Sus scrofa: one gene and its partners. The protein of the gene in region 2 purifies or fractionates together with the protein of the main gene of each other region. This does not show direct contact. Links are inferred from orthologs where the notes say so. Each region holds a gene or a part of one and is shown on either strand. Other genes may lie near its edges. The genes, in order: CD40, TRAF3IP2, IKBKG and IKBKB.

The links.
Region 1: the proteins of TRAF3IP2 (region 2) and CD40 purify together in Homo sapiens (affinity purification with western blotting, with the first as the bait; 3 studies listed by BioGRID). This does not show direct contact. The link is inferred for Sus scrofa from reciprocal best matches to the Homo sapiens genes TRAF3IP2 and CD40.
Region 3: the proteins of TRAF3IP2 (region 2) and IKBKG purify together in Homo sapiens (affinity purification with western blotting; 3 studies listed by BioGRID, with this or other methods). This does not show direct contact. The link is inferred for Sus scrofa from reciprocal best matches to the Homo sapiens genes TRAF3IP2 and IKBKG.
Region 4: the proteins of TRAF3IP2 (region 2) and IKBKB purify together in Homo sapiens (affinity purification with western blotting; 3 studies listed by BioGRID, with this or other methods). This does not show direct contact. The link is inferred for Sus scrofa from reciprocal best matches to the Homo sapiens genes TRAF3IP2 and IKBKB.

The regions. Positions count from the first base shown.
Region 1 is NC_010459.5:48,293,581-48,300,099, forward strand, and holds the end of CD40 (tumor necrosis factor receptor superfamily member 5 precursor), read left to right. Parts: intron 1-682; coding exon 683-744; intron 745-3,231; coding exon 3,232-3,318; intron 3,319-3,449; coding exon 3,450-3,478; intron 3,479-4,016; coding exon 4,017-4,178; 3' UTR 4,179-4,608; downstream 4,609-6,519.
Region 2 is NC_010443.5:77,509,003-77,516,448, reverse strand, and holds part of TRAF3IP2 (adapter protein CIKS), read left to right. Parts: intron 1-5,639; coding exon 5,640-5,832; intron 5,833-7,446. UniProt on the Homo sapiens protein: E3 ubiquitin ligase that catalyzes 'Lys-63'-linked polyubiquitination of target protein, enhancing protein-protein interaction and cell signaling. Transfers ubiquitin from E2 ubiquitin-conjugating enzyme UBE2V1-UBE2N to substrate protein.
Region 3 is NC_010461.5:125,049,350-125,056,489, reverse strand, and holds the end of IKBKG (NF-kappa-B essential modulator), read right to left. Parts: intron 5,993-7,140; coding exon 5,840-5,992; intron 4,722-5,839; coding exon 4,625-4,721; intron 3,734-4,624; coding exon 3,590-3,733; intron 3,372-3,589; coding exon 3,229-3,371; intron 3,117-3,228; coding exon 3,055-3,116; intron 2,867-3,054; coding exon 2,724-2,866; downstream 1-2,723. UniProt on the Homo sapiens protein: Regulatory subunit of the IKK core complex which phosphorylates inhibitors of NF-kappa-B thus leading to the dissociation of the inhibitor/NF-kappa-B complex and ultimately the degradation of the inhibitor.
Region 4 is NC_010459.5:11,286,602-11,294,714, reverse strand, and holds the start of IKBKB (inhibitor of nuclear factor kappa-B kinase subunit beta), read right to left. Parts: upstream 4,382-8,113; coding exon 4,277-4,381; intron 1-4,276.

The DNA of each region.
Region 1 (6,519 bases), on a different chromosome or scaffold from region 2:
ACCCATCCTTTGTGTTGTGTTGTCCTGCTGAAACAGAATATACTGATGCTCTAAACTGTATATCCCTCAGGCCATACTTCTGCAGGGGAGTCTTTCTGGATGACCCTTAAACCAGAAATTCTCAACTGAGTAGTTTTGTTCCCCCAGGGACATTTGACAATATCTGGAGACATCTGGGTTGTCACGACTTGCAGGGGTGGGGGGAGGGGGCAGGGGGAATGCTACCAGCATCTAGTGGGTAGAGGCCAGGGGAGCTGCTAAACATCCTACAGCATTCAGGGCATTTCCCCACCAGAGGAGAAGAATCATGTGGCCTCAAAATGTTAGAAGCGCTGAGCTCGAGACACCCCCACCATCTCTCTATTCCAGTCACTACGGATTCTGATTCCTCTGAATGCTTCCCAGTTCACGTTAGCCTATATCGCAAAGCTTGGCACACATCAGAGATTCGCCTATGATTACGCCTTTAAGATGTGCAATAATCTCTTCTCTGCACTCTCAAGTCCCTAAGAACAGAGTCGGTGTCTTTCCTGTAATAACCAGCCCGGGAGGGTATGCATAATATGTGCTCAGTGGGCCTGGACTTGCTGGTTGCTGACTGTCTCCCTCTGGGGATGGAAATCTTATGACTGGGGAAACTTAATCTCCCTTTCTGTGTGTGTGTGCACGTGTCTGTACACAGCTGCGAGAGCAAAGGCCTGGTGGAACAACGTGCGGGGACTAACAAGACCGATGTTGTCTGTGGTAAGTCCCAGAAAATGGGCCCTAGCAGCAGGCTAGGAGGATGGGGAACTGAGGGGGTGATGAGGGGGTCCCCTGGAAGCACTGGTAGGGAAAGAGGGAGGGGAGGTGAAGCGAGAGGAGGAGGCGGTTTGGAATTGTGGTGGCCCAGCTCTGCCACTTTATCTGTGGAGCCTGGGCAAGTCACCTTCCCTCTCTGCACCTCAGTTTCTTCTTCTGTAAAATGGGATACTACCACCTCCCTTAAGGGTTGGTGCAACGGTCTAGGGTGGGTTCTTGCCCTCTCATCACTCTTCTGCCGCCCTGCATAGTGAGGACCAGTATGGTATAACACTGTTCCCTCTTGGGACCTTTTTTTTGTTTTGTTTTGTTTTGTTTTTTAGGGCCACACCTGTGGCATATGGAGGTTCCTAGGCTAGAGGTCTAATCGGAGCTGCAGCTGCCCACCTACGCCATAGCCACAGAAACAAGGGATCCGAGATGCATCTGCGACCTACACCACAGCTCCTGGCAATGCCCCGTCCCTGACCCACTGAGTGAGGCCAGGGATCAAACCTGCAACCTCATAGATACTAGTTGGATTCATTTTGGCTGCACCATGACGGGAATTCCTCGGGGCCTCTGTTTTGATTTTAGAGTGAGGAAGCTGGCCTGTAGCACTGATCGCAGACTCAAAGAACTACAGGGGGGAAAAAAAAGTCAGGATCATGTTCATGAGTGAAAAAGGTCAGGGCAGAAAGAATACACCCTCTGCGCTTTTTCATAAAATTCGCTTTTCTCTCCATGGGCCTGGGACTAGAGTGAAGGGAGGCACTCACCTTGGGCACAGTATTTAGGGGGGTGCCAGAAAAATGCAGTAATTAAGACAAAATGCAATATATACTCTTTTGGCCATGCCTGTGACATGTGAAAATTCCCAGGCCAGGGACCAAACCTGTGCCATTAGCAGTGGCCTGAGCTGCAGCATTGACAATGCCAGATCCTTAAACCACTGCACCACAAGGGAACTCTTCAATATTTTTAAAAAAATCAAAGTTAATGCAAAATCCATAATGAACAAAGTAGCAACACTGTAAATAAAGACAACATGCAACTCTGCACTTGTACAACCTTGCTTCACCTGCCTCACCGTAATCCTGGCCCTGGTTCCAATAAAACTTTATTTAAAAAACAGGCAGCTGACCTGTAGGCCAGAGTTCATGGACATGATTTTTTTTTTTTTTTTTTGTCTTTTTGCTATTTCTTGGGCCGCTCCCGCAGCATATGGAGGTTCCCAGGCTAGGGGTCTAATCGGAGCTGTAGCCACCAGTCTACGCCAGAGCCACAGCAACGCAGGATCCGAGCCGCGTCTGCAACCTACACCACAGCTCATGGTAACGCCGGATCGTTAACCCATTGAGCAAGGACAGGGACCGAACCCGCAACCTCATGGTTCCTAGTCGGATTCGTTAACCACTGCGCCACGACGGGAACTCCATGGACATGATTTTTTGAAACACGACACTAAAGTATTGTCTAGTTCTCTTGTGGCTCAGCAGGTTAAGGATCCAGCACTGTCACTGCAGTGGCTCGGCTCGCTGCTGTGATGCAGGTTCACTCCCTGGCCCAGGAACTTCCACATGCTGCAAGTGTGGCCCCCCAAATTATTATCTTAATTACTGAGTTTGTTTAGTGTCCCCTTAAATTTTGTCCCAATACGAGTATGTCACTTGCCTTAGTCCCAGTCCCCACCCTGCCTCTTGGTCGTTCTTTCATTTTCCCATTTAGAATAGAGGTCGGGTACAAGAAATGCTTTCCCTTCCACTGCATTCTTCTCTATCAAGGCAATGGTGCGGACCTAAGTGATGCTGTACCTTGGTGTTAGGAAAAGAGCTGCGGTGGGGGGTGGGGAGTGTGCTGAGCTGGTGGAGACTGCTCTCACTCAGGTCTGGCCAGTGGGTGCCAGGGGGGGCCCCCTGGGGCTGCATCTTCCAAATTTCTAAGAGAAATCAGATATCCAGGTTTTAAATATGCAATCTCCCAATTAAAAAATGTTGGCAGGAGTTCCTTTCGTGGCTTAATGGTTAACAAATCCGACTAGCATCCAGGAAGACGCGGGTTCGATCCCTGGCCTCACTCAGTGGGTTAAGAATCCGGCATTGCCATAAGCTGTGGTGTAGGTCGCAGACGCAGCTCGGCTCTCACATTGCTGTGGCTCTGGCGTAGGCCGGAGGCTATAGCTCTGATTCGACCCCTAGCCTGGAAACCTCCATATGCCACAGGTGTGGCCCTAAAAAGACAAAAAAAAAAAAAAAAAAGTTGGCAAATATTAAGAAAAAAAAGCATGCCAGTCACACTAGAGACATCTACTGTCTACGTTTTGCCAGGGGCCACCTGTTTGAAACCTGTGATATAGATGAGTTTAGACACTGAAGGATTTGAGAGTCCAGCAGGGCGCAGCGGCTTTGGGCAGGGGGTGGGGAGCCATTGCTGAAGTCTCCATTTCTCCAGGTTTCCAGAGTCGGATGAGAGCCCTGGTGGTTATCCCCATCACGCTGGGGATCCTGTTTGCCGTCCTGTTGGTATTTCTCTGTATCAGTGAGTCCCCAGGCGGGCAGGTGCTGGGGGAGGAGGGAGCAGAAGGTACCGTAGAACCGGCCACCTGTTTCCTGATCTGGCCTCACAGACTCCCCACTCCACTTTCTCTCTCCCCACCCCCTTCTCTCTAGGAAAGGTGACCAAGGAGCAGGAGACTAAGGTAAGTCACCCCAGGGAACGGGCTTGGTTTGGGCACACCGGAAAGAAAGACTGACTCCTTGTTGTCTGTATGGCAGCAAAACTGATTCAGGGTCTGTTCCTGCAGCCCGTCGGGTGGCAGCAGAATTGACTACTCATCCCCTCCCCTCTGCTCCAGGGCTCCTCCCTTGCACTCCCTCAGCACCAGCTTTGTCATCTCCCCAGCTCACCTTCCCACGGGGCTGTCCCTGCCCCACTGGCAAAGTCTGACATGTGCTGTTCCCCCATTCGATACATGCGACAACCTCATCTTTGGGGCCTTGCTGTGGGGTCCATAGGTGGGTGCTGGACGGACAGCTCCTTGAACCCACTGGCTCTGGCTACCAAAGCTTCCTGACACCCTCAGTATGGCCAGCAGGGGGCAGGAGGCACCCGTTTAATCGACTGGCACTGACCCTCCTTTTGTGAAAGGGGAAGGGGCTTGGGGCCAGGGGTGGGATCGCTTCCAGGGAAGGGCTCAGAGATGTTGCTAGAGGTAACCCCAAGCCTTGTCTCCCCAGGCCCTGCACCCTAAGACTGAAAGGCAGGATCCCGTGGAGACGATTGATCTGGAGGATTTTCCCGACTCCACCGCTCCGGTGCAGGAGACCTTACATTGGTGCCAGCCCGTCACCCAGGAGGATGGCAAAGAGAGCCGCATCTCCGTGCAGGAGCGAGAGTGAGGCTGTGCGTGGCCAGGAGCGTGGAGGCACGGGCACAGGGGCATGTGACTGGAGAGCCCGGGGCGGCTGCTGCTGCTGTGGCGGTGGTGAGAGGGTGGTGCTGGGCACAGCCCCCTCTGCCTGCACCCCTGCAGTCCAGATACAGTCCACCTCGAGGAGCTTCTCACCCCAGCCCTGGAGCCCATTCAATCTCAGTTTGCTTTTAAAGATGGAGACAAAACTTTGGGGAGTCACAGCCACAGTAATAACCACCAGAGCTTCCAACCCAGAGGTTCAGTACCTGCAGATGCAAGGGATGGCGTCTAGGAGCCCAGGAGGCATATACATGACTGTCCACCACTGCATTGTTCGTGACAGTGAGTGACTGGAAACTGCTTAACTGTCCATCAACAGGGGACTGGCTAAATAAAATTGTAACATGTTTATGCAACAGGATCTCAATAACACTGTCATGGGGGAAAAAGCAGGTTTCGGAATGGTGGGCACAGAAAATTTTTTTTAAAACACGTAACCCCACATAATATATCCTTTACGGATGTGTGTATAAACATAGTATATTTATAGATGTAGGTATGATGGGGTGCTGGCGGGGTTTCTGGGAGAATGCACAGAACATGCACAGCTCAAAGAATTGTAACATCTTGGATGAGGAAGACGGGTACGGGGGAGGGTTGGTTAAAGAAAGATCTGACTTTCCCATAATGCTTCATTTTTTTTTTCCCCTAAAAGGAGAGTGAATTCACACACTGCTTATGTAATTAAAAAGTCATCAAACATGTAAAAAGAAAAATGGGGGTGGACATGCTGGGTGACATGAGCTGTTTCGCATGCTGTCAGGCTCACAGAATTAGGGCACTTTCTGAGGGTGAATAAGAATGTCCCCAGGCGGCTGCCCCTCCAGGGCAGTTTCCGTATGCACTCACATTTGGCATCGTGTTTGCAAAGGGTTCTCCCTATTTGATTCACAGTAATAACAGCAGCCTTTGGAGCAGGCTGGGCCAGCATCCTGCCCTCCCTCTGCCCCTCCCTCCTTGTTTAACAGAGGTGGAAATGGAGGCCCAGAGAGGTGAAGTCACTAACTTATGGTCACACAGCAGTTCAGAATGGTGTCACACAAGTTCCTTACTCCTGGTCCTTTGCTACTTTTCCCAGCCCTGCTTGTTCTCTGGAGCCTCTATCTGCAGCCCCTGCTGTCCTGGGGAGCCCCTGGGCGTCCCACCTCCTTTTGACCTCCCAACTGCTCTAGGAGCTGCTGCTTCTCAGTCAGATGGTGCCCCCTTCCCCCCAAGCAGTATCTCAGGATAAAAATAAACCGTCCTGTTCTCTTTTCCTGCTGTGCCAACTGAGGGGGAGCCTAGCCAGGAGGAGCAGCAGATGGAGTGGGAGCAGAGGGGAGGGGGGGAGAGGGGAGGAGAGGAAGGTTGTAGGACAAGGAGGGGAAGGAAGAGCAGTGCAAAGCCCCAGCACGAAGATGCATGGGGAGGAGGAAGCTGGGCTGATTGAACCCAGGGATCTCACCCTTTCTGCCTGTGCCAAGTTGCTTTGGATTTCCCAGTGTCTCCTGCTGCCTAGAGGGTGGAGGAGGAGAGGGCTTGTCCCCAGTGGTGGCTATGAGGGCAGCTGGGAGCCACAAGAGGGGCACCTGGCTTGGCAGGCTTCCCAGAAGAGCTTCAAGAACCATTTGGATGCACCAGGGGGAGATGTTTGATTTAGAAAGCAGGGCAAACAGGTGGAGGAGAGGTGGGGAGAGGGGAGCTCGCTTTTGCCCCCTACCTAGAGTCTAAATGCTAGCATGACTTCTGTACAAGACAGTGTGGTGGAGAGAGACAAAAGACCCACCTCTGCCACCTCTTATCTGTGTGACCTGGGGTAGGTCATGTTGACCTTTTAGCATCTCAGTGTGCTCATCTGGCAAATGGAGACAATCCCCGTAGCAGATGCTCTGGATGCTTCCTCTGTTCCCTCCTAGGTCACTGGTTCTCGATGTTGAGTGTGTATCAGAAGCCCCTATGAGACTTGTTAAAAGACAGATTGCTGGGCCCCCCCCTCCAGAAGGATTTAGCAGGTCTGGGATGGAGCCTAAGACTTTGCATTTCTACAAGAGTCGCAGGTGGTGCTGCTGGTCCAGGGATCGCACTTTGAGAACTACTGCCCTTGGCACTGGCATTTCTAGATACATAGTTGGTTTCCTGTTGCAAGCACTTTGAATCCCTTACCTTGGGCCCTTCCTTGGTTTTGAAGATGCACTTGGTGTAGGTGTGGGGCAGGTGAGACACACCTGAGAGAGCTAGAGCCCCAGAATACCCATCCAAGTAGGAGTGGAAGTTGGAAGATAAACGCC
Region 2 (7,446 bases):
AATCAGGTTTTATTCTCTCTCTCGTAAGTTCTTTTAATACCATTCTTAATAAGGAAGAAAAATGTCAGATGTTTTGACTGGTAAGTGGAGAACCTCGTGTACGATTTGGTTTATAGATTCTGAGGGGCTCAAAGCCCATAACGTGAAGACCACATGGACCTAGGCCAAGAGGGTCATAAGATTGACAAGTACCATACAGCTCTGGCCACCCATTTATGATTGTGCAAGAGTCATAGTTTTGTTCTGTGGTTTAACGCTGCCTCAGAATGGAGGCGTTACTGTGCTCAAACCCCCCCACCCACCCACCCACGGCTTTCTCTTTTCATTTTTCTTTTTTTTTTTTTTGTCTTTCCGTCTTTTCTAGGGCCGCACTCTCAGCATATGGAGGTTCCCAGACTAGGGGTCGAATCGGAGCTGTAGCTGCCGGCCTATACCACAGCAACGCAGGATCCAGGCCGCGTCTGTGACCTACACCACAGCTCATAGCAACACTGGATCCTTAACCCACTGAGCAAGGCCAGGGATTGAACCCACAACCTCATGGTTCCTAGTCGGATTCATTAGCCCCTGAGCCACGACGGGAACTCCCACTTTCTCTTTTACATCTCCTGCAGAATACACTCTCCTGGTGGAATTTTAGGCACCAAGGACAAGACACTAGGGAAGCTATTTGGGGGCTCTGATTCTTAAGTCTATCACGTAGGTGGCTGCTGACTTGCACGCCTCTCCTCCTCACACAGTGATGAGTTTGTGTTTCAAAACAGACCTCCACAGACACACAGATTTTCCTTCTTCCTCTCTCCACTTATTCTGAACTACTCAAGAGAACTATATCCTATTTATCTCTCTTCACTGCATGCCTAGCCATAGAGGTTCAATAAATATTTGTTGCATGAAGAAAAAGAAATCTGTTTCCTACTTCCTGGAAAAAGGAGTGATCCCCTAATCATGAATAGAGCCTTTGTGACAGCAAGCCTTGGAAAGGCCACCGTGTCTTCTGGGAGAGCAGAGGAAAGGAAGGAGGTCAATGCGATTTGGAAACAGACCTTGTTCATTCATGTCTCGATGTATTTCACAAATATCTGCCCAGTTGTGTCCTAGGCACTGGGTGGGTGGTAGTGACTACAGCACACGTGGTCCTGTCTTGGTGGAGTTCACAGTCTACTGGAGATAAGCCTCCAGATAAGTAGAAAACAGTAAACAAAATAAAGTCAAAGTGTGATAAAGGAAATAGCCAGGTGTCAGAAGAGACATTATTAGACAGGATGGCCAAAAGAAGGCTTTTGGAGGCGAACCCATCTGGGCTGGGATCTAAAGGATGAGAAGGCCCAGGAAGCCAGGAAATTGGTTATCACCAAGGTCCCGAAAGCAAGCGAGTGGAATGGGAGCTGGATGAGCCGGGAAACAACAATTTGCTAGAGGACGGATGAGGCAAGGGCCGTGGTAAGGAGTTTGGATTTTTTTTCTACATTAAACTTCTTTAGGAAAACAGAAAATGGAACACTGTAATCCTGAATAAGGAACTTAGAACTATACTTGGTGTGTAACGAGCACTCAACAAATGCTAGCCATTTATATATATATGGTACCCAACTAAACTAGCAAGCCTTGGTCAAAACAGTGGAATGGAATTATCGAAACTTGAGCAATGAAAAGATATCCATTTACCCAACAAACATAGTTTTTTATTTCATAACTCTTCCACACAGCCAGCCAAATTCCAGACAAAAATCCGTCAAGTTCCACTTACAAAAAGGAAACCTTATTTTTTGATTGACCCTCTGATATTTAATATTTCTTTGTTTTAAGCAGTCGAAGGACAGCCTAGAGAATTATAATGTCAGTACCATCATTTTAAAAATAGATGAGGTGGATCATTTTCATCTGCTCACATAAACCAGTGTAAGTTTTTATCACAGGTGGCCATTTCAGAAATGAGAGTTACAGCTAATCAAACACTTAGCCCACATGCCTTAGTGATTTTAATGATATGATTTGTTGCTATGAGACAAAAACATGTTGTGCGAGAAATAATCTGTTAGAAATCATATGACCTTGATTCAAAGGCTTTTGATTAACAGTGCTAACATCCGCTTTCTGGAAAAGAAACAAACCCTATGATTAGAGCTGGGTAGTCCTTTTAAAGCAAATAAAACATTATGAGCCACTTATTAATGAATATGGGAAGCAAGACTGGCTCTAAGCATTAAAAACTTTCAAGGCCACTGGCAAAGTTGCTCCTCTTTTATCTTGTACTACTTCCAAATGGAAATAGACAGTCTAGAAGACCCAAGACCTAGCAGGCAAATTGTGTAGTTCTACATGGCTTCTTATGTGTGTGAAGTTGGCTTTGTTACTATTCAGTCTTCATCCATAGTGTGTGTGTGTGTGTGTGTGTGTGTGTGTGAAGTTGGCTTTGTAACTATTCAGTCTTCATTCATTTACTTTTTGAGCATCCCCTGGGGTTTGGCACTGGGCTTGGAGACATGGTGGCAAACAGATGCAGTTCATGTTGTCCTAGAGCTTAGAGTCTAGTAGGGAAGGCAGGCAAGAAATTGACAAGTAAGAGTCATGCTTTCTTATACAAACCTAAATCTGATAAGTGCTTGGAAGAAAATAAAATAGGGAGATGGGATAAGGCATCTGGTGAAGGGGTGGGCCTCTTAGAACAGATGATATCTGAGCTGAGCCCTGAATGTCAAGAAGCTGGTCTGTAAAGATATAGGGCAAAAACATTCTAGGCAGAGAGGATGGCAGACTCAGGGTCCCAGAGGTGGGGACCTGTTTGAGGCGTTCAAGATGAAGAAAGACAGCAAGGGTAGCTGGCGTTTGGTGAGCCTAGGAGAGTGTAGTAGGAGGTGAAATCAAGAAGGACGGGGAGGAGTTCCCATCGTGGCTCAGCGGTTAATGACTCTGACTAGCATCCATGAGGATGCAGGTTCAATCCCTCGCCTTGCTCAGTGGGTTAAGGATCTGGTGTTGCCATGAGCTGTGGTGCAGGTCGCAGATGCAGCTCGGATCCTTCGTTGCTGTGGTGTGGTGTAGGCCAGCAGCTACAGCTCCGATTCGACCCCTAGCCTGGGAATCTCCATATGCCTCGGCTGCAGCCCTAAGACTCCAAGTGGAGAGCTGAACCCCTTGGAATGTATCTGACCTGCCCCCAGGAAGGCTATGAAAGCAAAACCTGGGTGGTATATCTTGTCCTAGACCACAGGGGTCTCCATGGTCCTATCTCCCCATTTTTTTCTTTTTTTTCTTTTTTTAAGGCTGCACCAATGCCATATGGAGGTTCCTGGGATGGGAGTCAAATTGGAGGTGCAGCTGCTGGCCTAAACCACAGCCACAGCCATGCAGAATCCTGAACCCACTGAGTGAGGCCAGGGATTGACTCCACATCCTCATGGATACTAGTCGGGTTCTTAACCCACTGAGCCATGCGGGAACACCTGTCTCCTTATTCCTAGAGGTGCTCTCCAAGTCTTGGTCTTTATCAGCCAGAGACAGGGACCTGGGACAGGCCCAGGCAGATCCTTTTATCCTCTTGCCTTTTCTTTAGCCTCTAATGTTATGACCAGGCCTAAGCAATAGCAGGCCAAGGGTCATGGTCAGGGCCAGGAGACAACCTCGGTTAGAGGGGTGTGGTCAGCTTTGCCAGAGGAAGCATGACGGGAGGGCCCAGCTCATGTCACGGGTCAAAGTAGACAATGGGTTGAACACAGGGAACCCAACCAGGCTTAGGAGACTGGCCTGGACATATTACCAGGGTCACCCAGCCAAGTTTCCTGAGTCTAGACAGTGCGGACCTAGAGGCCACCACATTAGGAAACATATTCTTTGTCTTCTGTTCTGTATTCCCCTAAATGTTCCCCTGAAAACTTCAGTGGTTCCTGACTACTTGCCAAACTAAGAATAAAATTCTTAGCCACATTCTCACCCTCCCCATTCCAGTTCTACCCTGCTTTATATGCTGCTTTCTTTCTCTCTCTCTCTCTCTTTTTTTTTTTTTTTTTTCTTTTTTGGCCACCCTGTGACATAAAGAGTTCCTGGGCCAGGGATCAGATCAGAGCCACAGTTGTGACCCAAGCCGCAGCTGTGGCAACGCCAGATCCTTAACCCACTGTGCCCCGCCAGGGATCAAACCTGCATCCCAGTGCTCCCAACACACTGCCAATCTTGCTGTGCCACAGGAGAAGCTCCAATCTGCTGCTTTCTTGCTCGCCTGCTAGTTTTATTTCACTTTATATCCCTGCATATATCCTACCTATGCAGTAGGCAAATCTGGTTATTACTTTTGTAACCAGAAAAAAGAATAAAGACCAATAAACATCTTTTGAAAAATAAAATTCTTCCTTACCCTAACAAGCTATGCCTCCTCAATCATCCAAATTCTTACTTGGGCAGAAGTGGCATTGCTCAGATCACCAGCAGCTGCTGATGGTTCATTTTGCAGGGTTACCCCTGGCTCTCTCCAGTCCCACTATAGGGTAGGGAAGTCACCCACCCCTGAGGTGCATCCAGTCTCTCAGATTTCCCACACTTGAGCCCCTTTCCTTTGGGCCTGGACAGTTCCCTCCAGAGCCTTCCTCTCCGGCCCCTATTGGGCTCCCTGTACCCCTTCTCTGGACTTCACCTCCCTTCTCTCACCTGCATGGGCACATTGCCCTTCTTCCCTCTGGACCCTGCTGCTCCTCGGCCTGGCTGGGACCAGCTTTCTCCTGGGTTCACCCAATTCACTGCCAGGCCTGACTTTGCTCTGAGATCCACCCTCTTCTAACTTCCCTGCACCCCAGCTGCCCATAGCCTTTAGCAAGGGGGCACCGAGAAAGTTGGGAGGTATTGCCAACTTGGTTGGCTGCTTCCCAGAGTTTGAGCCAGGTTTTCATTCATTTAGTTCTTCCGAAGAGAGTGTGTGTGTGTCCACTCAAGGGAAGGAAAGGAGGGAGTCATGATTCTGTATCTCTCATGAGGATGATTTCTCCTAGCCTTGGGTTCTAAAAACTTGGGGAATTGCGGTAGGATTAGTGGTGACCTAGACTCCGTGGAATGTATCTGACCTGCCCCAGGAAGGCTGTAAAAGTAAAACCTTGGTGGTATATCTTGTCCTAGACCAGAGGGGCCTCTGTGGTCTGTCTCCCCATTCTTAGAGGTGCCTTCCATGTCCCGGTCTTTATCAACCAGGGGCCTGAGATAGATAGGATGGGTTTGGATTACTCTAAGCATTTTTATTTTTTTTCAAATTCATTTTAATTGTTTCATGTTAATTCCATTTAGTTTTTTGTTTTTGCTTTTTTTTTAAAAAAAAAAAAAAAAAAGCTTTTTGTTGCCAACTGTGTTAATATGTTTCTTTCTAAGTGTCTTATTTAAATAGGAACCTGTGTGGAGCTTTGTGGTTTCCAATCAGAACACCAAACTCATGATTTCACGGGTGTTTTTATTGAGGAAAAAAATAAAAACAATGACTCAATGGAATGAAAACTAAATAATAGTAGAGGAAAAAGGCAAACATCTCGGAGGTGGTAAATGATATCCAGAAACCTCCATTGGTAGCAAGACAAACATTGGCACTGAGCTAACCTGCCCCTCCACACAAAGCTACTAGAATCAGTGGTCGCTGTTTTCCTTGCTGTCCTCACCCACAGATGGCCACAACTACCCTCGAGAAGCCTACCAGCAAGTGATCCAGCCTGCTTTCCATGGGCAGGTGCCCCCTGGAACCAGTGCAAGAGGCCCACACCCTGTGCAGAAGGTCTTCCTGAACTATCCCAGCCCCTGGGACCAAGAGGAGATACCTGCAGCAAGAAACTACTCCTCCCCGGGGTTCCCGGGGTATCAGTAAGTGTGATGGGGCCAAATTTCAGGCCGTTTTCACCTGAGAAAGAAGGATGCCAGTGCAACCAAAATGCACAGAACTCTGTTGTTGGGGCCCAGGTTAGTGACTGAGTCACACGGGCTTTCCAGGGCAGGAGGAATCAGGAGCTGGTTGAGAAGAATCTCTTCAGTAGGAGTTCCCATTGTGGCTCAGTGGTTAACAAATCCGACTAGGAACCATGAGGATGCAGGTTCGATCCCTGGCCTCGCTTAGTGGGTTAAGGATCTGGCATTGCCATGAGCTGTGGTGTAGGTCCCAGACTCGGCTCGGATCCTTCGTTGCTGCGGCTCTGGCGTAGGCCGGCGGCTACAGCTCTGGTTAGACCCCTAGCCTGGGTACTTCTATATGCCATGGGTGCGGCTCTGAAAAAAGACAAAAAAAAAAAAAAAAAAAAAGAATATCTTCATTAGATGCATGGAGCCACTGGTGACTAGTCAAGATGCTCTTTTGGAAAGGCTCTTTATATGCTAAGTCACAGCTCTCAGTTCACCTGGCCTTTTAGCTCATGTCATAGGGTTTTACATTTAGTGACAGACTTCCAGTGCTATCAAGTTCTTTTTGCTATCCCTGGTTTCCATACCTGTTAAAACCCATTTCTTTCTTTGAAATTTTAAATTCAATTAGTTCTCAATAGATACTTAAAATAGCCTGTTATTGTCTTTTGTAATAAAAGCATTCCCTGGAGGTCCCATTGTGGCTCGGCAGAAACGAATCTGACTAGCATCCATAAGGACACAGGTTCGATCCCTGGCCTCATTCAGTGGGTTAAGTCTCCGGCGTTGCCGTGCGTGAGCTGTGGTGTAGGTTGCAATGTGGCTCAGATCCCACGTTGTTGTGCCCATGGCATAGGTTGGCAGCTACAGCTCTGATTCGACCCCTAGCCTGAGAAGGTCCATATACCATGTATGCGGTCCTAAAAAGCCAAAAAAGAAAGAGCTTTCCCACATGTTGAACACCATTATTAGATCTCTCCCATACTCCTCCCAGAAAAACAATTTTGGTTTCTCTTGACTTTAACTGTCTAATCCTTTAATCATTGTTCTCTTTGTTGTTCTCTTTGACTCTTCACACTTTCTTTTTCTCTTACTTTATGAATCTAAAACACATAGGAAAAACTCATGTAAATTGGGCTTCCTAATTTATGACAAAATTGGAAAAAGTGTAGATACAGTGTTTGCTCTTATTCAAGCACAACTTTTATATGCCACTCAAAGTAAATCTATATTCTGTTTTGACAATGGAGTGAGATATGACGGTCCTATTAAAGCAGTTTTTTGGGGGTTTTTTTGCAGAAATAGTGAAATCAGTAATTAGCTCAAAAAGTTTATTGAAAGAAAAAAAGCTGACTCTATGTACAATACCAGATAAGTCACATCTGCTTCTCCTCTTTGCTCAAAAGCCAACAAGCCCTCAGATTTTCTTTGCAGACAGATGCTTAATTTTTTACAAACAAAATTGCACGGAATTTAAATAATGGAATTAAGTCATGATTTTACAGCCAGATAAGCACTCGTGCAGAAAAAGTATCTAAAATCCCAAGAACACAAACAAAATTTAAGCATCTTTATGTTTGGTGT
Region 3 (7,140 bases), on a different chromosome or scaffold from region 2:
ATACCTCAACACACAAGGAAAACAATCACTCCCACGCACATGGATGCAGCTCTTACGTCTTTATTGGGGCCAGACTTTATACAGGACTTTGTCTATTCGGCCAGAGTGTGCCCCGGGCGACAGGGTGTCCACAGCGCTGGCTGCAGAGGCCCGTGTTGTCCAGAAGTGCAGCCTCTGATCTCACCGTGGTCTTTGGTGGCGACAGATGACAGAGCCGTGAGCCTCTAAAATGCCGAAGTCTCTGTGGGTACCCACTGTCCCTAAGTGCTTGTTCCGTCCCACAGAAGGGGCGACATCCCAGGCCTGTCCCTGCCCCTTGCCAGGAAGGCACCAGAAGTCTTCACTGGTTGCTATGTTGACGTCCCATTTCGTCTGGGTTCCTTTCTTACTGGCTGGCTCGCTGTGGAGCAGCGGGGAGCGACACCGGGGCTGTGCGTCCAGCCGTCTCTCTCCCTCCCACACCCAGGACGGTGACGAGCAAGGGGCCACAGCTAATAAGGTGGGCAAGCGGCTTCCCTCATGGCAAGAATCCGGCCACTTGTTCCGGAAGCCCAACCTAAGGAAAGCCAGAGAGACAGTGGAATCACTCATTTCCGGGCCACCGGCCTGCTTTCAGACCCTGGGTCTCTAACGGACGCTCGGCCCGACACGGAGAAGGTGGCAGCGAGCAAGGGCGCCCAGCCTCCGGGAATAGAAGGTCCGAAAGAGCAGTGGCCCCCCAGGGCCCAGGCGGGGGCGATGGGAGGCTCCCGGCCGCTGCTGGGCAGCCTCTGGGGGCGCCACCGCCAGAGCCCCGGCGGGTTGGGGGGGGGGCCCGCGTCCTGCCTCCTCCTTGAGCCCCTCTCAGCAGCACAGTCCCAGCACCCAGGGTGCAGGCGGCCCAGCAGCTCCACGCCCATCACCCCGGCAGTGGCATCCAGCTGCAGAGCAGAGGTCCTGAGGATCGCTCGCCCCCCAGCGCCCCCCCCTCCTTCCACCCCGCTTGGGTCTTCCTCCCACACCTGCAGCTGACAAGCAAGTCCCCAGGCCAGGCTCTGCTTTCAGAACAGGCCGCTGGCTGGGCCGGCTTCCAGCAGGAGACCCAGACCCCGACCCTAGGGAGCAGGGGGCCCTGGACAAAAGCCGGGGCTGGGCCCGTGACCTCCACTCCCCAGCAGGCCAGCCCTCGGCAGCAGCGGGGGGGACATCCTTCCTGACAACTGCAAGGCCAACGCCCATGGCTTTGACAGCCTCGGAAAGAGCCAGAATCTTGCAGAACAACACGCAAGAGGCCTGCGCTGTTGGCAGTCTGCCAAAGATTACCAAGTGGCTGCCACTGGCAAGGCCAGGCCATGCAGGGCTGGTGCAAGAACAGCATGAGAGACTTTTGGAAGGTGATGAAACACGCCCCCCTGCGCTGGTTGTGTGGCAGTGCTCTGGGGAGGACAAGGCACACACTGCAGTGCTGGGAAAACGTCTGAGCAAACCCAAAGCCGTGACGGAACAGTGGAGAAATGTGACTACACGAAGAGAACCAGCTCGAGTCCAAACACACCAGCACCAAGTTGGTGGGAAAAGATAACTGCAATTCCTCTCACTCCATCCCACTAACGAGTCAAGAGCCTCTAGTAGAAGTCAAGGAACAAAAGACCAACAGTCCAGCAGCAAACAGGGCAAAATGATGGAAAAAAGCCATTTATACTAGAACGACTGAAAAGGACCCTTCGAGCTCTGGAAAGATGCTCAAGCTTTCTTTTTGCCTCACCCGCGTCATACGAAAGTGCCTGAGCCAGGAATCAAACCAGCGTCACGACAGTGACGACTCCATATCCTTAACTGCGAGGCCACTGGAGAACTCCTTCAAGCTTCAAACTCTCTTTTCTTTATTTTTCTTTCTAGGGCCACACCTGCGGCATATGGAGGTTCCCAGGCTAGAGGTCGAATCGGAGCCGCAGCCGCCAGCCCACACCACAGCCATGGCAACACCGGATCCTTAACCCACTGAGCGAGGCCAGGGATCGAACCCGAATTTTCACAGGGACTACATCGGGTTCTTAACCTGCTGAGCCACAAGGGGAACTCCTATGCTCACTCTTACGAGAGAAGAGCACGTCTGGCAGATGGCACAAGCCCACGGGCTGGACCCCCCTGACGTGGGGCAAGGCTACGGGGCACGAAACCACTCCTGGGGGAAGGACCCCGGCACGACTAGCCCCTCTGCAGAAGCTCAGGGGTGCTGCTTCTAAGAAGCCAACTCAGAGGTACACACGATTGATGGCCAGGGCTTTGCAGTGCAGAGTCATTTATGACCATAAAACGATGATCGGTAACAAACCCAGTGTCCATGGGCAGCGGACAGGTTCGATCCAACTCGGCGCAGCCGCCACCAGGCCACCACTCAGCCCACGCCCGCGGCGCTGCCCTGTGCCAGGCGGCTGGCAGGAGGGGTCCCGCCCGTCTGGGCCGGGGAAGCAGCTCCTTCCGAGAGCCCGGCCTTCACTCCTGACTTCGCTGGTGCAGGCAGAGGATGAGCGAGCTCCAGAGACAAGCGGTTCAAGCAGACAGAACAAACAGAAAGAGCAGAGCGTCAGGCCTGGCTGGGCTCCGTGCGCCCAGAAAGAGGTCGACCAGCAGGCGGGGCGGAGGCGTGAGGCCCGCAGCTGGCTCCGGGGCCCAGAGAAGGGGCCACCCTCAGTCTCGGAGCAGGAGAGCGCAGCGTCCTGGGCTGGCCGGCGGCGGGCGGCCTACTCGATACACTCCATGACATGGATCTGCAGGGTGTCCATGTCGGGAGCCTGGTACTGGCACTTGGGGCAACAGAAGTTGGGGGGCTCCTCGGGGGGGCTTCTCCTCTGGCTGGGCAGGGCCGGGTGAAAGGAGTGATGAGCTGCGGAGAAAGAGCGGGCACCGTGGGGGCGGGCTCCGCGGGCGTCCCCACGCGCAAACTGCAGGGGGCAGAGGACAGGGACTCCATGGGACCCTGGGATCCAATGAGCGGGATCAGCAGCCCTGAGGGGGAGGGGTGGCGGGTGCAGCTGCCCCCCGAGCCCCCCCCCGGCCCCCGGGCTCACTCACCTGGGGCGGGGGGCAAGGTGGGCTGGGAGACCTCGACGTGCCGCTTCCTCATGTCTTCGATCCTTGGAGAAGAGAAACCGTCCGATCAGCAGGGACGAGCCAGTCTCCCCCGCGGGGAAGCCGACGGGGCGGGAGGGCGGCGGGGAGGGGGAGGCCCGGCCCCAGCGCCCCCACCTGGCCGATTCCTGGCAGCTGGTCTTCAGCCGGCTGTACTCCCTCTGCAGCTGCTCCAGCTGCTCCTGCAGGAGCTCCTTCCTCTCAGCCAGCTGCTCCCGGGCCTGCCGCTCGGCCTGGAAGTCCGCCTTGTAGATGTCGGCCTGGCAGAGCCAAGACAGGGGCAGCGCCCGCCGGCCGTCGGCCTCTTGCCAGACGCGGCTGCCGGGGCACCGGCAGAACCCGCTCCTGCCCCCCCAGAGCCCGTGGCGCGAAGCCGGTCACCCCGAGGGCCCGGAGGGGTCCAGGAACACCGCGAGGGCCTCGAAGTCACAGCGCGCCCAGGCCAGGCCCCCAGGCAGGCCCCCCAGGCCAGGCTCACCTGGGCTTTGAGCACCGGAACCGTCTCCATCACAATCTTGTGCTGCTCGGCCTCCTCCTTCAGCTTGTCGATCACTTCCTGTTTGGCCACCAGGGCCTCCTCGGCCTGCTGCAGCTGCTGCTTGAGGTCTTCCAGCTGCAATCCCTAGAGACGGGCGAGGGGCTAGCAGCCCGAGCTGGCCCAGGCCGGCTGCCACGCCAGGCAAGAACCAAGAGGAACCAAGACCGGCCCGGCTGCCAGGCCGCGCCCGGGGCATCGCTGTGCGCGCAGCCCCGGAAAGCGGAGGCGAGGCCGGAGCGCTGCCTCGCCCTTCCCGGCGGACAGCCCTCCTCCGGCCCTTCGAGGGGCGAGGGGCGAGGGGCGAGGGGCACGGGCCACCGTCTGTCCTGAGCGGGTCCCATGCACTAATGCGCCACCACATGCCAGCTCAGCTGAGGCCCATGGGTCCTTCCACTCTGCCACCTGGTCAGAGGTCTGCTGTCCCTCACATGACCCATGACCCCCCCTACACACACACACACACACACACACACACACACACACACGACCCCCCCCCACGCACACACGCACACACAGACCACTCACAGACCATCCAGCCCTCCCTCCCTCTGCAGACCAAAGGGTCACGGTTTTGTAACTGACTCTTTCTCACGTGACCAGGCTCTACCCTTACAGGTCTCTTCCAGACAAGTTCACGCTGGACGGCGTCCTTCTTAAAAGGTGATCACTAGAAACCGCACCCCGTGCAGGTTAGATGAGGACAACCTAGAAAAGGGCTCCCAGCGCCCCCCAACGGTAATACGGAGACATTTTGAGAGAAAGCCAAGCCAGGTGCCAAGCTGGCGCCGACAGCCGGCGGGAGAGACCCGCCACGGACAGCAGCGTCACCAACCCCCTGGGCTGCTCCCGGGTCTGGGAAGGTGGGGCCTGGGATTTGCCCGAAGGGGGAGCTCCCCTGGTCCCAGGCTGCAGGGAGAGCAGCAGGGCTAGGTCAGCCCCAGGCAGCCTGGGGGACACCCGCCCCCAAACACTCACTCGGTTGCGCTCGCTGCTCACCACGCTGCTCTTGATGTGGTTGTCATACTCCTGGAAAAGCTGGTGGTAGGCCACCTGCAGCTGGGCCAGCTTCCGCCTGAGGCAAAGGAGCTTTGGCTGGAGAACCACCCGGTCCTGCCCCAGCCATGGCTTTCACTGCTTCCACCTGCAGCCTCTGCCTTCTCACCGTCTCCGCACTACACAATGTGCCTTCCAGGGAGGGCTCTGCGCCTCAGAGGCCGTCAGTCAGCCGCGAGGCAAGCTTTGCCAACTCGTTGACATCACTTTTCTTCAATGTAGCATTTTTTAAAGCATCAGAAGAAACACTTATAATAAGATACAGCTGTCCTCGGAGTTCCCTGGTGGCCCTACTGCGTTAAGGATGCGGCACTGGCATCAATCCCTGGCCTGGGAACTGCCCCTTGCCACGACACGGCCAAAAGAAACTTTTTTTTTTTTTTTTTTTTGGCCATACCTGTGGCATGTGGAAGTTCCTGGGCCAGGGATCAAACCTGCACCACAGCAGCAACCTGAGCCACAGCAGTGATAACACTGGATCCTTAACCCACTGAGCCACCAGAAACATTTTTTAATAAAAATTAAAAATAGGAGTTCCTGGAGTTCCTGTCGTGGCTCAGTGGTTAACGAATCCAACTAGGAACCACGAGGCTGCGGGTTCGATCCCTGGCCTTGTTCAATGGGTTAAAGGATCCGGCACTGCCGTGAGCTGTGGTGTGGGTCGAGATGCAGCTCGGATCCCGCGTTGCTGTGGCTGTGGTGCAGGCCGGCAGCTACAGCTCCGATTCGACCCCTAGCCTGGGAACCTCCATATGCTGCGGAAGCGGTCCAAGAAATGGCAAAAAGACAAAAAAAAAAAAAAAAAAAAGTCAGCTTTAGACGTCCATGATGGCCTAGTGGGTTAAGACAATCTGGCACTGGCACTGTCACAGCTCAGGTCACTGCTGTGGCTTGGGTTCGATCCCTAGCCCGGGAACTTCCGCATGCCATAGACATGACCAAAAAAAAAACATAAAAAATATATTTTAAAAGTCAACTCCATTAAAAATCGGGAAAAGCATAAGGACGGTCTAGACTAAAGAAGACTCAAAGGGCATGCAAGTGGCACACAGGACCCCGGCCCCGAGGCTTTGAACACGTGGGCCAGAGGGTAGATCTGAACGCGGGCAGGCAAAGGCCGCCGCAGCCGGCACTCACTTCTCCTCCGAGGCGGCCTGGCGCTCCATGCGCAGGGCGGCCTCCATGCTCTGGCTCTGCAGGCGCAGCTGGTCCACCTGCACGCTGTGCTGCTGCTGCAGGGCCTCCCGCTCGTTCTCCAGCTGCCGGACCTGCTCGCTAGTGGCGCGAACCCTGGTGGCAGGAAGGGGAGGTCACCGGAGGGCCCCAGCAGGAGCAAAAGTGCTCGAGGAACCCTGCAGCACCAAGAAAGACTGCAGCAGAAGGCACTGGGGCCAGGGGTGAAGGAGGGGGTCCCAGGGGAAAGAAGCCCCAGGGACCTGCCCGTGGGGTTCCGAGAGGTGGGTGCTGGGGGCCATGGCCAGAGCAATCTCAGTGGAGGAAAGGAAGTAGAGCCAGTCAGCAAAGACAGCCTTTCTAGAAGGTGGGGCGGGCGCAGGTGAGAAGTGAGGTGAGGCGGGGGTGGGGGGTGGAAAGTGGGGTCAGTGGCTCCACGGCTCCCCCACCCCGCCCGCCACCACCGCTCTAACAGTGGCAAGGAGGTGGCTGGCTGGCCCATCTGGAGTCCCAAACGTCTACATCTGCGAGATCCTCCCACCTGCCTGCCCGGGAGAAGATCCTGGATCCATCCACACTCAAGCTGTGACAGCTCGGCTCTCCTCACCCGGGTCCCCCAAGGGGCCTGACCCTCTGATGGGGGCCCGTCACCCCACGGCCCCGCCTCGCATCTCCACACTCATGTCTGCTCACAGCTCCCTCCATCCCCAGCTCCAGGCTGCAGCCACGTCATCCTGTGTCCCGGGGGCGACAGTGGCTGTTCTGAGTGGGGGGCGGCTCCTGGCCCTCTCCTCTGGTCTCATCTCCACACCTGGCCAGCTATATCCAACTCAGATGTCCATCTGTGACCCGACAAAACTTAGCTGCCGGCATTGTCATCGCCAGACGGAAGTGCTGTCTGCCAGGGGCCCGAGAACAAGGAGGACAGCCGTTCTGATGTGACAGGCCTGGCGCTCAAAGGGCCGCCACATGTACGAAGTCTGGATCTGTTTAAATGGCCACACCGAGCGATGGGAGACGCAAGCAGGCTCCCTGCCCTGAGCTGCCAGCCAGCATTTCCATCTCAGCCACGTGGGGGGACAAGAGAGGAAGATGCCCAGAGCCTGCAACTGCGGGGTCATTAACTGAGCAGAGTCAGCCACAAAACTGCAGACAGCGTCACGCCTCCAGCAGTCTCTTTTATGTGCACAGAAAAAAGGCAAGAAACACGTGGCAGTGTCCTAGAAATGACACACGTGCCTCTTAGAGAAGTGGGGGTAGAGACG
Region 4 (8,113 bases), on a different chromosome or scaffold from region 2:
GGGTCCCAGAACCAGATCCCCAGAGCCAAGGGTTAATATTCAGGAATTTGGTGAGAAAGGCTGTTCAGCTGTCAGGGGCTGGAAATAAGGCACGGTGTGGGAGTCATTACCCTGCAGAAGTCAGGGCGTTTTTTTGGACACCGACTTCTTAGCCCAGAACTGCCCGGCCCCCTTCCAGCGAGTGCCCGCAGCCAGAGCGGGACTCCCTTCGGCAGCGTCCTCCTTGGCGGGGCCTGATGCCACCTCTGGCACGTCAGCCAGCCCCTCACCCCTTCTGCTCACATCTGCCTGCCATGACCTAGCCCTCGCCAGGGGCTCCGAACAGGCTGCACCCTCGGCCTGGAACCCCCTGTCCATTTTCTCTGCCTGGCTAACCTCTACCAACCCTTGCGCCTCCCGTGTGGTGCTGCTTTCCTGGAGACCCCCTGGCCTGAGGTCCCACTGCACTGGGCCCCTCTCCCGGCTCACGATTATCACAGTTGGGAGCTTACATCTATAAGACTTGATTAATGGTGCTTTCCCTTCCCCAGGAATCCACTTTATCAAGAAGTGGATGATTTTGTGCCCCAAACACGTGCAGAACATAAACGGAGTCGCTATGGGGGAACAGAAAGAAACCCAAAGGCAGACAGAGCCCAGGCTGATCAAGAACATTTCTGCACAGACAAAAAGGCAGCGCACAGGGGCTGTCGAAGGCAGCCCGGGAGAACCATGCCCACAGGCGGAAGAGACCTGTGCTCGTCTGTGGAGGAGGTGGGTGCAGCCCGTCCTGTAGGAATGGGCAGAATTTACAGCAAGACATCCAGGAGACACAGGCTTGTCCCAGAGGGGGCTCGGCGGACTGATCTGCTGGGAGTCCACAGGGGAGAGGCAGGGAGGGGAGGGGCTTCCAATGGCAGAAGGAGAGCTTGGCTTTTGGCTTTTTTAAAAAAAAAGAGTTCCCACCATGGTGCAGTGGGTTAAGGATCTGACTGCAGCAGCTCAGGTCACTGTGGATTTCGATCCCTGGCCCAGGCAGGGGGTTAAAGGCTCTGGCGTTGCCACAGCTGTGGCTTAGATTCAATCCCTGGCAGCTTCCATATGCCGCGGGTGCAGCCATAAAATAAAAAAAATAAAAATAAAAATTAAGAACAAATTAGGAGTTCCCGCTGTGTCACAACGGGATTGGTGGCATCTTTGCAGCACCAGGATGCAGGTTTGATTCCCGGCCCAGCCCAGTGGGTTAAAGGATCTAGAGTTGCCTTAGGTCGCAACTGAGGCTCGGATCTGATCCCTGTTCTGGGAACTCCATATGCCATGGGGCAGCCAAGAAAGGAAAAAATGAATAAATAAATAAAAAAGAACAAACTAAGTTTCTGAACAGGAGAAGGAACGCAAAAGTAGTAATTCTAGAAGATGAATACACACACACACTCATAGCTGTAAAGCCAGCAACAAACTCCATCTGTTGATAGCTTTTTGAGCCCCGAAAGAAGACAAAGGCCAGTTGGGGTGAGAGATGGCAGACAAGTGGCCCATCCTGACAGTCTGGGTTGGTTTTTTTTTTTGGTTTTTTTTTTTTTTTTTTTTTTTTTTTTTTTTTTTTTGCTTTTTAGGTCTGTACCTGCGGCACATAGAAGTTCCCAAGCTAGGGGCTGAGCCAGAGCTGCAGCTGCCAGCCTATGTCACAGCCACAGCAACTTGGGATGTGAGCCACGTCTGCGACCTACACCACAGCTCACAGCAATGCAGATCCTTAACCCACTGAGTGAGGCCAGGGATTAAACCTGCATCCTCATGGATACTAGTCATGTTTGTAACCCACTGAGCCACTACCAGAACTCCCTTGATAGAAATTTTTTTGAAGGAAGCCAAGATGTATCTAGTCCAGCTGTAGTGAGACCTTTGCTGTAGTCAAGACTCTAAAAGCCCCAGCCTGTGTGCAAGCAGCCCAGCCCAGGTCTGTGTGGGGCAGTGGAAGGATCTGGCTCTCCTGTGGTGAGCTAGGCCTCTGGTTGCCCAGCCAACCACAGGGTTTGCTGGGGTCAGAGTTTCCCAGGCGAGTGTGAGAATTACTGCCTGCCCACCTGACCTCTGCCCTCCAGCTCTGGCCCCCACATTCCTCCAGGGACTGTTCCATCTGCTCAGAGCTGACAGGATACAGTGCAGGGCCTCAAATGTCTTCCAACTGATAGAGAGGGTGGTCTGAAATGCCCCCCCCCCCCGCCGCCGCCCCACCGTGGCTGCCCAGTGGCCTGAATGACCCTCCCTGTGGTAGGAAACCTGCCATCTCTTCAGTCCAGAGATGTGCTTGCCGACCTTGTTTAAAAAGAAGGCGCCCTCCCTCAGGGGCTTTGGGGTTCTGAACTTGGAGTCAAGAAGCTAATTTTAGCTATTTGGTGGGTGATGGCTACCTTCGAGCCAATATACAATACTGGAATCCAAAAAAATTCAGAGGAAATTAAGTCTTCCTGATACTAAGTGTACAGCACCCTCCTCGGATCACCTGTCTCCTCTGACACTCGAGGTACCCCAATGAAAAAGGGCATTCCATGGGCAAGGGGTGGACAGAGGCATGCGGGGACATGGGGCAGGTTCTGTGTGCCCCACTGAGGTAGATTTATAAATGATATTATGCAATTTTTTTTTTTTTTTGGTCTTTTTGCCATTTCTTGGGCTGCTCCTGTGGCATATGGAGGTTTCCAGGCTAGGGGTCAAATCAGAGCTGTAGCCGCCAGCCTACGCCAGAGCCACAGCAACGGGGGATCCGAGCCGAGTCTGCAATCACAGCTCACGGCAATGCCAGATCCTTAACCCACTGAGCAAGGCCAGGGATCGAACCCGCAACCTCATGGTTCCTAGTTGGATTCGTTAACCACTGAGCCATGACGGGAACTCTGATGTTATGCAATTTTAATAACATAACTCATAAGATGGATGAGCAGCTTGGAGATCCCTGTGGAGAATGTCAGTGCATATAACACCAAAGTGAATGGGAATATGGAATAATTAACACTGTGGTGTGAGAAACTCACGGCAGACACATAAGGAATAAAATCAGTGAGGCTCTGGAGTTCCCACTGTGGTGCAGTGGGTTAAGTCGCTGCAGAGACACCAGCTGGGGCAGTGGGTTAAAGGAGCCAGTGTTGCCACGGCCTCGGCTCAGATTCAGTCCTTGGCCCAGGAACTTCTATATGCCGCAGGTGCAACCAAAACAAACAAACCAAACAAACCAAAACCCAGTGAGGATCTCCCAGACTAAAGAAAATCGGTCCAAATGATTTAAAATTGTAAGAACTATTTGAAATGAAGATGTTCATCCATCATCCTTAGCAATAATTCTCACTTTTGTGTGTATCCATATAATTCATGTTGAAGTATGGCAAACAACACTGGGAAGACACCATAATTGGTAGATATTTAAAATATTTTTCAAATTAATTTTTTTTCTTTTTTGGCCGCTCTGTGGCACACGGAGTTCCCCGACCAGTGATCAGATCTGAGCTGTAGTTGCAAACTAAGCTGCAGCTGCAGCAATGCCAAAGCCTTAACCCACTGTCCCAGGCCTGGCATTGAACCTGCATCCTAGCGCTCCCAAAACACCGCCAAAACTGTTGCACCACAGCAGGAACTCCTCAAATTAATTTTTAAAACATAAATAATAAACATTTAGAAATGTTTTATTATTTTCACCCTTTAGATCTTTCTATATTTTGGTAGCTTTCATAATGTGATATATATATTGTGTATATTAGTAGGTGATAGTTTAATGTTAGCATAGCTACGTAATTTTAAATACATAGAATTGAAGCTGAAAGCTTACTTTTTTTTAGGGCTGCACCTGCAGCATATGGAAGTTCCGTGCTAGGGGTTCAATTGGAGCTGCAGCTACTGGACACAGCCACAGCAACTCAGGATCCGAGCACATCTGCAACCTGCACTACAGCTCACAGCAATGTGGAATCCTTAACCCCCTGGGCAAGGCCAGGGATCAAACCTGAGTCCTCATAGATACTAGGCTGGTTCGTTACCACTGAGCCACAAGAGGAACTTTGAAAATTTACTTTGCTTTATTTTTTTAACTATTTATTTAGGTGGCATAGTCAATAAAGCTTGGAGATCCTGAACCTAGAGTCAGGTCAGGAGCCCTTGACGCCCCCTGCCCAGGCTCCTTCTCTCATGAAGTCCATGGCCAAGGCAAGCCCCATTCCCAAGGAGCAGAGGCAGGGAGCAGAAGTCTGCCCCCACAACCCCCCAAACCTGCCACCCCGGCTCTTCCCAGCAGCACAGGGCCTACCTGATTGTGCCATCGGATGACGTTCCCAAATCCCCCTGTCCCAAGCCGTTCTTTCATTTCCCAGGCCCCACATGTTTGGGTTGTCAGGGAAGGTGACCAGCTCATACTGATGTCCTGCTAACTCTGTAAGCAATTCGGGGCGGGGGACAAAAAGTGATGGTTAAGAAAAAAATGGAACTCAAGGGCATGGACAAAGTAAGAGATACCATGGTCCTTCCATGTGAAAGAGAAAAATCGGAACTGGTTTTTATCTTGTAAATAAACCAGGCCGTTTGGTTTTGGTTTTAGTAGGAAACTCCTGTCTTCCCCCCCACCCCCAACCTCCCGCCCCCCCTCAAGCTGCATGGAAGCAGAAGGGAGGAGAGGCCCTCAAACTACAAGACCTGAAAGGGGATCCCAAGCCGGACCCCGGCCGGGCGCCCTGCCCTGGTGGCTGGGACGCCTCCCCTTCAGCTCCCCGCGGTCTTGCGTCACCGCGGCGTGGACGAATCACGGCCCCGGCCCGGGCTCCCACCTCGCTGCCACCACCCGGCGCCACCCCGCCAGGGCCGGGCTCGGGGGGCCTTCAGCTCCCACCCCCAACAGGAACTCGCCGACTCAGGCCCCACGAGAACATCTCCGGGGGCCTCGGAGAGATGGGGTGCTAACTCGCCCGGCAGGTGACACCGGCCGCCCGCCCGAGGGACTCACCTGGCGGCGGGACGCGGGCGGGGGCGCGGGTGGGGGCGCCACCCCAAAGACATTGAAGTGCGGGAACCTCCAACCCACCCGCTGAGCGCCACTTCCTCAAACACTTCCTGCTCTGACGTCACGGAGCACGTGGCGCGCGGCCCAGGCCACGCCCATCCCCGCCCCCGCTCCGCCCGCCCGGCTGGGGACCAGCCCTAAAACCCATCGTAAAAGGCGGGAGTTTCCTTTAGAAGTACAGCTTGGACCTGAGCGGTTCCTGGGACCGGGTAGATGGGGATTTCCTCACCCAGCCCTTCTGGGGTCAGCCTGACCTGCTTCCTAGACTTATTATGGGGGGAATTTCCCAGCCCCCGCCGGGATTGATTTAGGGACAGTTTACAAGAATTGCCGTGGCAGTCTGTCCTGGGGGCCGTGCTCCCTCGCCCCCCTGTCTGGAGGCTCCTTGGCTCTTTTCATAAATCACACCTGTAGTCCCTAGACGTGACAGTCCCCTCTCCACCCTTAAAAAAATAAAGAATGGGGGGAAAAATCTGGTGGTTTAATACTAAACTGCAGTTTCAGCCCCAGGGACGTGCGGAAATTTTGAGAATAGCTTTCAGTCCCGGGGTTAATGATTCTCACCTCCCTACTTGGCATCATAAGGGTGTGTGTGTGTTGGCAGGAGAAAAAGCATCAAAGGCAACCTGAGGAGTGCTTATTAAGTGCCAGGCACTGTCTAAACTCTGTACTTGGGTTTCCTCATTCAATCCTCAAGGGAAACCTACAAATTGGACAGTAGTGCAGTATTATTACCCCCATTTAACAGATGAGAAAACTAAAGCACAGAGAAAAAAGTCTTTATCCCCAAATCACAGACTGGTAAGTGGATGATGATCAGATACTCAGCCCCCAGCAGCTAGTTCTTGGGCCCAAGTTCTTAAAAGGCTGTAAAAGTAGGATACAAATAGGTTTAGAAGGAAGCAAACGGGATTTTGAATGCAGATACTGCTGTTGATTACCTCTGACGCATTAGGACAAGTGGCCTGGACCACTCCAGGCATCCATTTCTCTTCCTTGAAATGTTGGCAACTGGAGTTCCTATTTTGGCTCAGTGGGTTAAGAACATAACGTAGTCTCCATGAGGATGTGCATTTGATCCCTGGCCTGGCTCAGTGGGTTAAGGATCCTACGCAAGCTGCAGCATAGGTCACACATCTGGCTGGGATTTGGCGTGGCTGTGGCTGTGGCATAGGCCAGCAGCCGCAGCCCCTATTCCACCCCTAGCCCGGGAACTTAAAAAGAATAAAAGATAAAATGTAGGCCACATTAATGGATGGATTAGTGAAATATGACAGAGGAAGACAATACTGTATGTTATGTATCTAAAAAAACCAAACTAATGACTATAACTAAAAAGAAACAGACTCATAGATACAGAGAACAAACTAGTGGTGACCAGTGAGGAAAGGGAAGGGGAAAGAGGCAAGATGGGGTAGAGGAGTGAGAGGTACAAACTGCTATTTATGAAAGAAGCTACGAGGATATATTGTACAGCACAAGGACCATAGCCAATGTTTTATGACTGTAATTTTTTTTTTTTTTTTTTTTTTTTTTTTTTGCTTTTTAGGGCTGCACCCATGGCATACGGAGGTTCCCAGGCTAGGGGTCGAATTGGAGCTGTAGCCGCCGGCCTACACCTGGGCCACAGCAACTCGGGATCTGAGATGCATCTGTGATCTACACCACAGCTCACTGCAACCCTGGATCCTTAACCCACTGAACAAGGCCAGGGATGGAACCAGCAACCTCATGGTTTCTAGTCAGATTCGTTTCCACTGAGCCACAACAGGAACTCCGACTATAAATATTTTGAATCACTATGTTGTATACCTGAAATTAATATAATTTGTAAATCAGTATACTCCAATAAAGTAGAAATAATTTAATAGAATATTTAAATAATAATACATATTTAAAAAATAATAATAACTTAGGAGTTCCTGTCGTGGCTCTGGAGAAACGAAACCAACTAGTAGCCATGAGGATGTGGGTTCAATCCTTGGCCCCGAGCAGTGGGTTAAGGATCCGGTGTTTCTGTAAGCTGTGGTGTAGTTTGCAGATGAGACTCGTATCTGGCGTTGCTGTGGCTGTGGCATAGGCCACCAGCCTGGGAACTTCCATATGCCATGGGTACGGCCCTAAAAAATAATAATAAGAAGAAGAAGAATAATTTAAATGTAGGCAATATTAGATGAGTTGTATGAGATTGTCATTTTTTATAAAACAGAAACAATTGAAACATCAGCAACATCAGCATCAGGTTTAGCCTAATCAGAGCAGCATGAGGCAGGAGGTGCCAGGGGGGCTATTGTGAAGGACAGATGATAAGATGGCAAGGGCTGTGCCTGACACAGAGGACCCTCCTGCTTGAACAGAGCCCAAGGCTCTAGTTAACTCCTAGGAACACTTTTCAGTCCAAACTGGAGGGGTCAGTGGACCCAGGGCTGCTCTAGGCACGCCAGGACATTCATTATTTCTCCACTTATCCTATTGTCTCTGCTAAATAGCACACTTGGCTTCAAGGCAGGAAGAGAAAGAAACATGGGTAAACAGTTGTAAAACACCAGAATAGTGCCTGACATATTTGTTAAGTGCAAAGTATTTCTCTAATAAATCAACTTTTAAAATAAATTTATTTTCTAGAGTTGGCATGTGATCCAGCCATCCCACTTCTGGGTATATATCCAGACAAAACTATAATTCAAGAAGATACATGCAACCCATGTTCACAGCAGCACTAGTCACAAAGCCAAGACATGGAAGCAACCTAAGTGTCCACTGACAGATGAGTGCATTAAGAAGATGTGGTATATATGCACATAACACACACACACACACACACACACACACACACACAATGGAATGTTACTCAGCTATTTAAAAAAATGAAATTGGGAGTTCTAGTCCTGGCTCAGTGGAAACAAATCCAACTAGGAACCATGAGGTTGCAGGTTCAATCCCTGGCCTCGCTCAGTAGGTTAAGGATCTGACGTTGCTGTGGCTGTGGCCAGCAACTGTAGCTCTGATTGGACCCCTAGCCTGGGAACCTCCATACGCTGCGGGTGTGGCCCTAAAAAGAAAAAAAAAAAAAGAATGAAATAATGCCAT